Mus musculus: one gene and its partner. The protein of the gene in region 2 binds, or shares a complex with, the protein of the main gene of each other region. Links are inferred from orthologs where the notes say so. Each region holds a gene or a part of one and is shown on either strand. Other genes may lie near its edges.

Region 1 (4,331 bases), on a different chromosome or scaffold from region 2:
TGTCAATTTCTATCCCCTGGTGGTTTATAATAATAGAGTTAGCAGGAGGAACAGAGGAATAACATTAGTGACACATGTCCTTGCTCCCTCAACAAACCCTTTCTCTTGAGGCGTGTACAGCTGGATTGCCACACCTGAGATTTTCCACTGTTACACCTGCTCTAAAGAGCTAATTCTAGGGATCCACACAAGCTAAAGCAGAAAAGTTTAATTTAGAATCCACAGTAAGCCCACGTTATTATGTTAAGAGTGTCACATATCAATGTGATTATGAGTCATTTCCAGGTTCAACGGACAATTTCATGTTTATAATCATTAACTAAGAGATATTAATGGCAGTAAGAAAAAAATGGTCAACCCAATTACAAACCTTTTTTCATAATTTTTTTCTAAGAACTACTTACAGTCTGGTTATTACAAAGCTAACTGGTTATGATCTGTGGCAATCTACACAGTCTATGGGGTTCTGCAGGTCCTCTGCAGACCTGGAAACACTGTAGCCCCAAACGAAGAGGAAAGGGAGACAGAGGCGAAACGGCAAAGGTGAGACAGCAGTGTGAAAAGGGAGAGGCCTGGGGCTGAGGCTCCACAGGACTTCATGGCAAGCTGGGTGTATCCACCATGAAACTCAGGAGTCAGGAGAAAACTGCTCCCTTGTGAGGGGTGCAAGTAGTGCTACTAGGTTCGCTGGTTCACCTTCACTTTCTAAAGGAACTCTGATCTTCTTGAACCTGTGGTAAACATCTGTCTCTAGAGTTCGGCCTTCACTTGGATTTTTTATGTAACCAAAATGAGAATCAGTTTGGCAACAGAGCCCATTACTAAATAAAGGAAAATTCTACTACCTTAATTATCAACTAAACACCTGCAAAATAGAATCTTGTTCTTAATGTTATATGTTTTTAAAACAAAATATTATAGCAGTTGTCAAGATGTTTAAAATTCTGTTAAAAAAAAAAACTTGTAGTTACCTTGATTACAATCAATAACATTGCAAAATTCCCTGACATTGTTTTCATTGATTTCAGCTTGTTTTCTCTCAATAAATGCAGATATTCGTCTGTCAATCTAAAACAACAAATAATTTAACAATCTAAACACAACAGAACTTTTCAAAGTAATGTTACCCTGACCCGTGTACCTGTCCACACTCACTTCTGCTTTTCCAGCCTTGATCTGAACTACTTCTGGGTCAAAAAGGTTTTGTGTCTTTTTCACATCTCCTACATCACAGTCTTTGGGCTTCCCTTCATCTTGTAGGTCCTCGGTGGGATGTATGGCTCTTAGTTCACTCTTGGTCTCTGCTTCTGTCTGTCTTATCTCTGTAGCTGTTGAGTTTTCTTTCATTAAAGACTGAAGTTTTGCTAAAAAAGGCTGGAAAGAACACAGTTACATCTGTTCAGGTTCAAACTCATCTCAGCTAGTGATAGATTTATCTAAGCTGCTGCTACAGAAATGAATATTATCAGTTATTAAACATAAAAAGCTGGCATACAAGGACACACAGATCTTAACACACACAGGTTTGCTGTTTTCTACTACTGTACATTGCCCTTATCATTTACTGTACATTTATTTTTAAAAAAGAAGAAAAGAAAGAAAACCTGAGGACATTTAAATTTTTCTTTGAGGAAATCATTCTGTCATTCATCTTTTATTTTGTGCTAAATCAAAGCCTCAGACTCTGGCCTGGATGCCTCTTAATTAACATGTCATTCAGAACACTAGGCTGAGTGTTCTCCCTCCTTAGCAGGAGGGCAGTGCTCACTCAGCAAAGCCCTGCATTATCACTGTATCGCTGAGACTCTCCACTTCAAAGTACAGTTGGCCAAAATGAATGAGAGAGCATGGATATGAAGTATATAGGTGTTACCCTGAGTGAATAGTCAGCCTTTCTCTGTCATAGTATGATATCTTATTGGGACATGAAATGAAATTTCACAAAAGAAAATGCACACGGGGAGAAGAAAGAGAAAGGAAGGAAGGAAGGAAGGAAGGAAGGAAGGAAGGAAGATAGGTAGATAGAAAGAAAGAAAACAAAACATGCTATACACGTTGGAAACAGATCATTCCAACTACAGTAGGTTAAAAAAAATGTCTTCATAATGGAAATTCACTTCCTTTCCTGTCATCCCCACCTGGATATGGTCCACATTTGAGTTCTATAGCTCATCACTTGCCCTTTAAACAAAGTGTTAACTGTTATTTTTATCATGAAACACAGCTAAACATCCCAGAAAGTACTCTTCTGAAATCTTCTAACATCTTCAACAGGGTAAAGTGACCAGAAAAAGCAGTTCTGCTTATCCTGATGAGAGAAAACCTCCAACTCCCATCAATTACACTCGCAGAGATGTTAAACAACAACAGCAAGGTTATAATACTGTTCATTTCTTAAACTGAAATATTAAAAATGTAACAATACCATTATAAATAATTCAATATTGACTTCCAATAAAGGATAAATTATTTCAAATTATTAAGATGAAATAGTGACTGGCTACTCACTAAGATGAAACATTAATGTCACAGAAATTACTTTCTTTTTAAAAACTATGCTGAAACTGTTTAATTGCAATAGACACTCCAGGATGTATCATGCTGGGATAATGCCACTTCTTGAACCACTGAAAGCACTCCATGAGCCTCCAAACTCACCCAAGGCATGGAATCATTATCATAGCATGACTCACACCTGCCGTGTCTTATTGCTTAATTATAACCCACCATAGATGAACTGTATTGAATTTTCAGCAAAGCCTAGAATTGAATAGAATTGCATTTATTCAATCTCATACCCACATTGGCCTATTGGGCTATATTCTCATAACTATTCCGATCACTAGTGAAATTAACAGACCTAGACTCAATATGGATTTTAATAACCTTTTATTAATAATACTGTTAACAGAATGTTGAGGTAGAACTGAAAAATACTCCAGTTAATTTAACTATAGGTAATTTCTATTTTCAATATCCAGTAAATATTTCTAATATGAAATTTACCTGTAAATACAAAACGTGTTGTTCAAGTGCAGTAAGGAGCAGTGCAGGCTGGGATGCTGAGAGGCTCTGGAGCCTGTTCCAATCGATTGTAATTTTCACCACATCATCTCTGAGGTTAAGCTTCAAAGAGGCAAACCAGCAACATCACAAAAATTACACGATTAAGCTGTATATCTGGGATTATCACAAAAATAAGATTTCTATGGAGTAATGCATGCCTATTTTGCTCAAAGTTACTAAGTTTCAATGACATAATAAAATGCTTTACCCAGTTGCCATTTTAAAAAGCCAAAAGGCACAGTTTTGAAAATAAAAAGTAAAAACATGTCTTATTATTTTAATTCTGTTCCTGGGGCCATCTTTGAAAAGCCATCCATGAAAGATAAACCTCTTTTGATACTTTGATATTTTAAAGACCACTGGAAGGTATCCAAAAATAGATCTGCCCTAGTCAGAATCCTACTGAATCCCAACTAGGCATTCAACAGACGAAGATCAACTACGACAGTCCAGAAAGTGTATTCTCTTTGTTACATATCACACAAACACATGCCTAAAATATATCATTACTCTGATGTCTTCTCAATTATTTTTATTGTTTTCAAACTTAGCTAATTAAAAAAGTATTTAAGACTTAAGATTATTCACACATAGGGACAGATGACAGTAACTACTTCAAATAAAAATTAAACTATCAGTTATGAAATTATTGAGATAAAAACCAAGTACTTTCCCAAAGCAGTACAACGAAGCCAAAAGTCAATGTCCAGTGTGTTTCCTAAGGGTTTTCTAGAAAGATATGTCTCATAACACGGAAACTTCTCACCAGGTAGTGATTTATTAGAACAAAAGTATATCCAGAACACTACCAAGAATATAAAATTAATATCAAAATCAGTCAAAACTTTAGAGGGAGAAGCTTCCACCTGTACATTTGACTGAGTATAAGGGAATCACTATAAACTTTGCTAGACACAATTCAAGTGGAAACAAGTCAATTGTACTTATTTTGCAATAATAATTTATTAAAAATTATGTCATATTTTCTACAAAGTAAAGATGCATGTTTCATGAGCTCAAATACAAATTTAAAGAGCTGTAAGAATAAAAAACCAAGACATGTGCTGATGGATTACTTTCATATTCAATAATAAATGCAGTTATCTTAGTAATCTTATCGTCAAATCTTAACTTAGTGTAAGTTTACCTATGTCAGTATAGCCTATGTAAAATTTCATATTTCTTTATGTTTGCCAAATGTGGACTTAGATGCCCCTGGTCTTAGGCAGTAGGTTTCTGTATCCACTATTTATACAGTAGAGTGC
Region 2 (4,331 bases):
CTGAGTGTGTGTCTGTGTGTGTGTGTCTGTCTGTGCGCGTCCACACATGCATGCTCCCTTCCTCCTTCTCTGTCCACTTACATTAAAACTCAGAATGTTAAAGCTAGAACTGGGCAGTTCAAGAGCATCTGTTACAGTTTACAGGGAAGGACACTGAAGCCCAGAGTGTTGCTATGGCTTACCCAGGGCTACCTAGTGAGCTGGTGGCAAGGCCAAGCCCCTAGTTCACCTCTGTTGCATTCTTTCATCTGTTGCCTTTATCCAGTGTTGTTCCGTGAGAAATATGTCACACAAAGCAAGTAGGGGACCAGTAAAATGGCTCAGAGGGTAAAAGCTCTTCATCTACAGGAAACCTGCATAGAACGCCACATCGCAGAGCCAAGTATGTTGGTGCATCCCTTTAACACCAGCACTCAGGAAGCATAGTCAGGCAGATCTTGAAGATGAGTCCAGCCTTGACCACTAATGGACTCTGTCTCAAAAAACCCCAAAATACAAAAATTAATCAGTCGATAACTAGAAAGAATTCAGATTACAATGGCACATGCATCTATAATGCCGGTGCATCTTTACCAGGAGGTGAGCGGCAGCCACAAGAGAATTGGCCAGAAACTTGTGGTTAGCCAGCCTAGAACCCACAACTTAGCAGATATGGGCATTAAATCTGAGTCTCAGAAAGGTGGAAGAAAAGAACTAACCCTCAGGAGTTGTTTTCTTACTTCCACATGGCATGCAGAAACCCTCACTTACGCACATACATCACACATGCAGAGTAATAAATTTTTTATATTATTTTATAAAAGGAAATCAAGGAACTTGGAAATCTACTAACAATAACTTTTGTTCTAAACAATCACTTTTATTCAGAGTTTGCAGTTCTCTGTTGTAGGTGATGATGCCAGCTGTTTTTCTGCGAAGTCCTTGGAGCAGTATTACGGCTGGAACATTGGGAAGAGGAGAGCTGCTGAGGTGAGGTTGCTTGCCGGACAGGTCTGCAGCCTGCACTGAAAGTCAGATGCACAGTAGAGGAGGACGCTTGCGTGTTCTTCCTCTATGGACAAAAGGAGGCAAACTTGCCTCTTTAGGTGGTAGACCATTGCTCAGTCAGAAACTTTGTTCTTCTGGATCCCAGATATCTCTTGAAGGCTTGTCTCCTGTACCAGGAAAAGCATCTTATATTTTCTTTGAAAATCTTAAATATTTTGGGATTGAATAGTTAGCTCAGCAGCAAGATGGCTGTGATCACAGAGAACGTGGGTTCATTTCCCAGCACCTGAATAGCAGTTCACAACAATCTGTAATTGCATTTCCAGGGGACCTAAATGCCCTCTTTTGGCCACTTTAGACATGGGGGCATGCACGTGGTGCACACAAGTACACATAAAATTAATATTTTTAAATTTGTAAATTTCAAAATAATACTGAATTCAGAGTTTTACAGAGTACTTACAACAATGTTGCCAAATGCAGTTGAATCTTGAGAGAAGAAAGTGTGTGCCGTGTAGCTGGGCACCAGCGGAAGCTGGGTCATCCATCGAATTTGCTTTGGGGAAAATGAAAAGTTGGTTCATGACCAGGTGAAAAGCCTTAAATGCAGACATAGAAGTTTCTGTTGTATTTTGTAAACACTAAGACCGATAGTAACTCTTTTTATTACATGTAAAACTGTTATTGTGTATGTGTGCATGTACACACATGCACATTCTCACATGCATGCCACTGCACATTTGTGAAGCCTGGAGGACGTGACGAGTCAGTTCTCTCCTGCAAATCAGCTTGTTTGGCTTGGTGGCAGGCATCTCACTCTCTGAGCCATCTCACTGGTCCCAAAACAAGTCGTCCCTTTGTTGCTAGAGAGTGACAGAATCTGATTTCTTAGTTGCTTGGTTTATTTCAGTGCACGACTGTTGATTTTAAAGTTCAAGGATTTAATTTTGGATCAAATCCTTTTTAAGTGGCAAAGAGCAATGACAGTACGAAAAGTGTTACAAGAAATCCTGGAGAAGAATCCAAGATTCCACCACTTGACTCCCCTCAAGACCAAGCACATTGCTCACTGGTGCCGCTGCCACGGTTACACCCCACCAGACCCCGAGAGCCTGCGACATGATGGAGACTCCATTGAGGATGTGCTGACCCAGATTGACAGTGAACCAGGTAGGCCTTAATAGGTTGCCCCAGTGTGGAGCGTGTTTGCCTCCTGTCAACCCCTACAAAACACTTGGCTTCAGTGTTCTTGCCTTCAGTTAGGGGTGAGGGAGAGCTGGTCTAGATGACAAGACCCTTTCTTCTTACCATGACCCCTTTCTTCTTACCATGACACCCCAGACAGCACAGCCCTTCAGAACTATACCCAAGTGTTTAAGGACCCCTAGTAGGCAGGTCAGGCCTACTACCATCAAAATAGGCCAGTGTCTTATGGATGTGGTACTGTACCCCCAAGCCTGGAGAGGGTATTGGGGACACATGAGAATAATCAACAGTGTTGTAGGAAATATAGGAAAGAAACAGACAACTACTAAAGAAAAAAATTAGAGGCATGAAAGCATCTGGCTATTCCTTAAAGAATAAGAAGGGTTCAGCCATGTTCTTACAGACATCAGAATGCCCCACCCCATCTAGGTAAGTCTTGTTTTCTGTAGAAAGCTTCCTGGGACCCAAGTGCTTAGTGGTCTTTTCTCTCATTTCCTATGGTATATACTATCTGTGCTGAGAGGGTTTGTTGACTTCTAGATCTATGTCCTTGGTGGGCAGAGACCATGTGATTACCTCCAAGTTTCACTGGTGCTCTGTACTATATTGAATAGGGAGAGAGTGAGCAGCCTTGTCTAGGGCCTGATTTTAGTGAGATTGCTTCAAGTTTCTCCCCATTTAGTTTGATGTTGGCTACTGGCTTGCTGTATATTGCTTTTACTATGTCTAGGTATGGGCCTTGAATTCCTGATCTTTCTAATACTTTTATCATGAATGGGTATTGGATTTTGTCAAATGCTTTCTCAGCATCTAATGAGATGATCATGTGGTTTTTGTCTTTGAGTTTGTTTATATAGTGGATTACGTTGATGGATTTCCATTTATTGCACCATCCCTGCATCCCAGGGATGAAGCCTACTTGATCAGGATGGATGATTGTTTTGATGTGTTCTTGGATTCAGTTTGCAAGAATTTTATTGAGTATTTTTGCATCGATATTCATAAGGGAAATTGGTCTGAAATTCTCTTTCTTTGTTGGGTCTTTGTGTGGTTTAGGTATCAGAGTAATTGTGACTTCATAGAATGAGTTGGGTAGAGTACCTTCTGTTTCTATTTTGTGGAGTAGTTCAAGGAGAGTTGGAATTAGGTCTTCTTTGAAGGTCTCATAGAACTCTGCACTAAACCCATCTGGTCCTGGGCTTTTTTTGTTGGGAGACTTTTAATGACTGTTTCTATTTCTTTAGAGGATATGGGACTGTTTAGATCATTAATCTGATCCTGATTTAACTTTGGTACCTGGTATCTGACTAGAAAATGGTCTATTTCATCCAGGTTTTCCAGTTGTGTTGAGTATAGGCTGTTATAGTAGGATCTGATAATGTTTTGGATTTCCTCAGATTCTGTTGTTATGTCTCCCTTTTCATTTCTGATGTTGTTAATTAGGATACTGTCCCTGTGCCCTCTAGTTAGTCTGGCTAAGGGTTTATCTATCTTGTTAATTTTTTCAAAGAACCAGCTCCTGGTTTGGTTGATTCTTTGTATAGTTCTTTTTGTTTCTATTTGGTTGATTTCAGCCCTGAGTTTGATTATTTCCTGCTGTCCACTTCTCTTTGGTAAATTTGCTTCCTTTTGTTCTAAAGCTTTCAGGTGTGCTGTCAAGCTGCTCATGTATGCTCTCTCCAGATTCTTTTTGGAGGCACTCAGAGCTATGAGTTTTCCTCTTAGGACTGCTTTCATTGTGGCTATGTTGTGGCTTCATTTTTATTTTCATTAAACTCTAAAATGTCTTTAATTTCTTTATTTCTTCCTTGACCAAGTTATCATTGAGTAGAGTATTTTTCAGCTTCTACGTCTGTGTGGGTTTTCTATTATTGTTATTGAAGATCAGCCTCAGTCCGTGGTGATTTGATAGGATACATAGAATTATTTCAATATTTTTTTATCTGTTGAGGCCTGTTTTGTGACTGATTATATGGTCAATTTTGGAGAAGGTACCATGAGGTGCTGAGAAAAAGGTGTATCCTTCTGTTTTAGGATAAAATGTTCTATAGATGTCAGTTAAATCCATTTGTTTCATAACTTCAGTTAGTTTCACCATGTCTCTGTTTAGTTTCTGTTTCCAGGATCTGTCCATTGAT

The links. Proteins that work in one complex are often made in the same cells at the same time.
Region 1: Yeats2 (region 2) and Mbip share a complex: the UniProt entries of both Homo sapiens proteins name them as parts of the ADA2A-containing complex. The link is inferred for Mus musculus from reciprocal best matches to the Homo sapiens genes YEATS2 and MBIP.

The regions. Positions count from the first base shown.
Region 1 is NC_000078.6:56,339,230-56,343,560, forward strand, and holds part of Mbip (MAP3K12-binding inhibitory protein 1), read right to left. Parts: intron 3,181-4,331; exon of another isoform or gene 3,127-3,180; coding exon 3,007-3,126; intron 1,375-3,006; coding exon 1,156-1,374; intron 1,069-1,155; coding exon 972-1,068; intron 1-971. UniProt on the Homo sapiens protein: Inhibits the MAP3K12 activity to induce the activation of the JNK/SAPK pathway. Component of the ATAC complex, a complex with histone acetyltransferase activity on histones H3 and H4.
Region 2 is NC_000082.6:20,220,785-20,225,115, forward strand, and holds part of Yeats2 (YEATS domain-containing protein 2), read left to right. Parts: intron 1-876; exon of another isoform or gene 877-889; coding exon 890-969; intron 970-1,955; coding exon 1,956-2,157; intron 2,158-4,331. UniProt on the Homo sapiens protein: Chromatin reader component of the ATAC complex, a complex with histone acetyltransferase activity on histones H3 and H4. YEATS2 specifically recognizes and binds histone H3 crotonylated at 'Lys-27' (H3K27cr).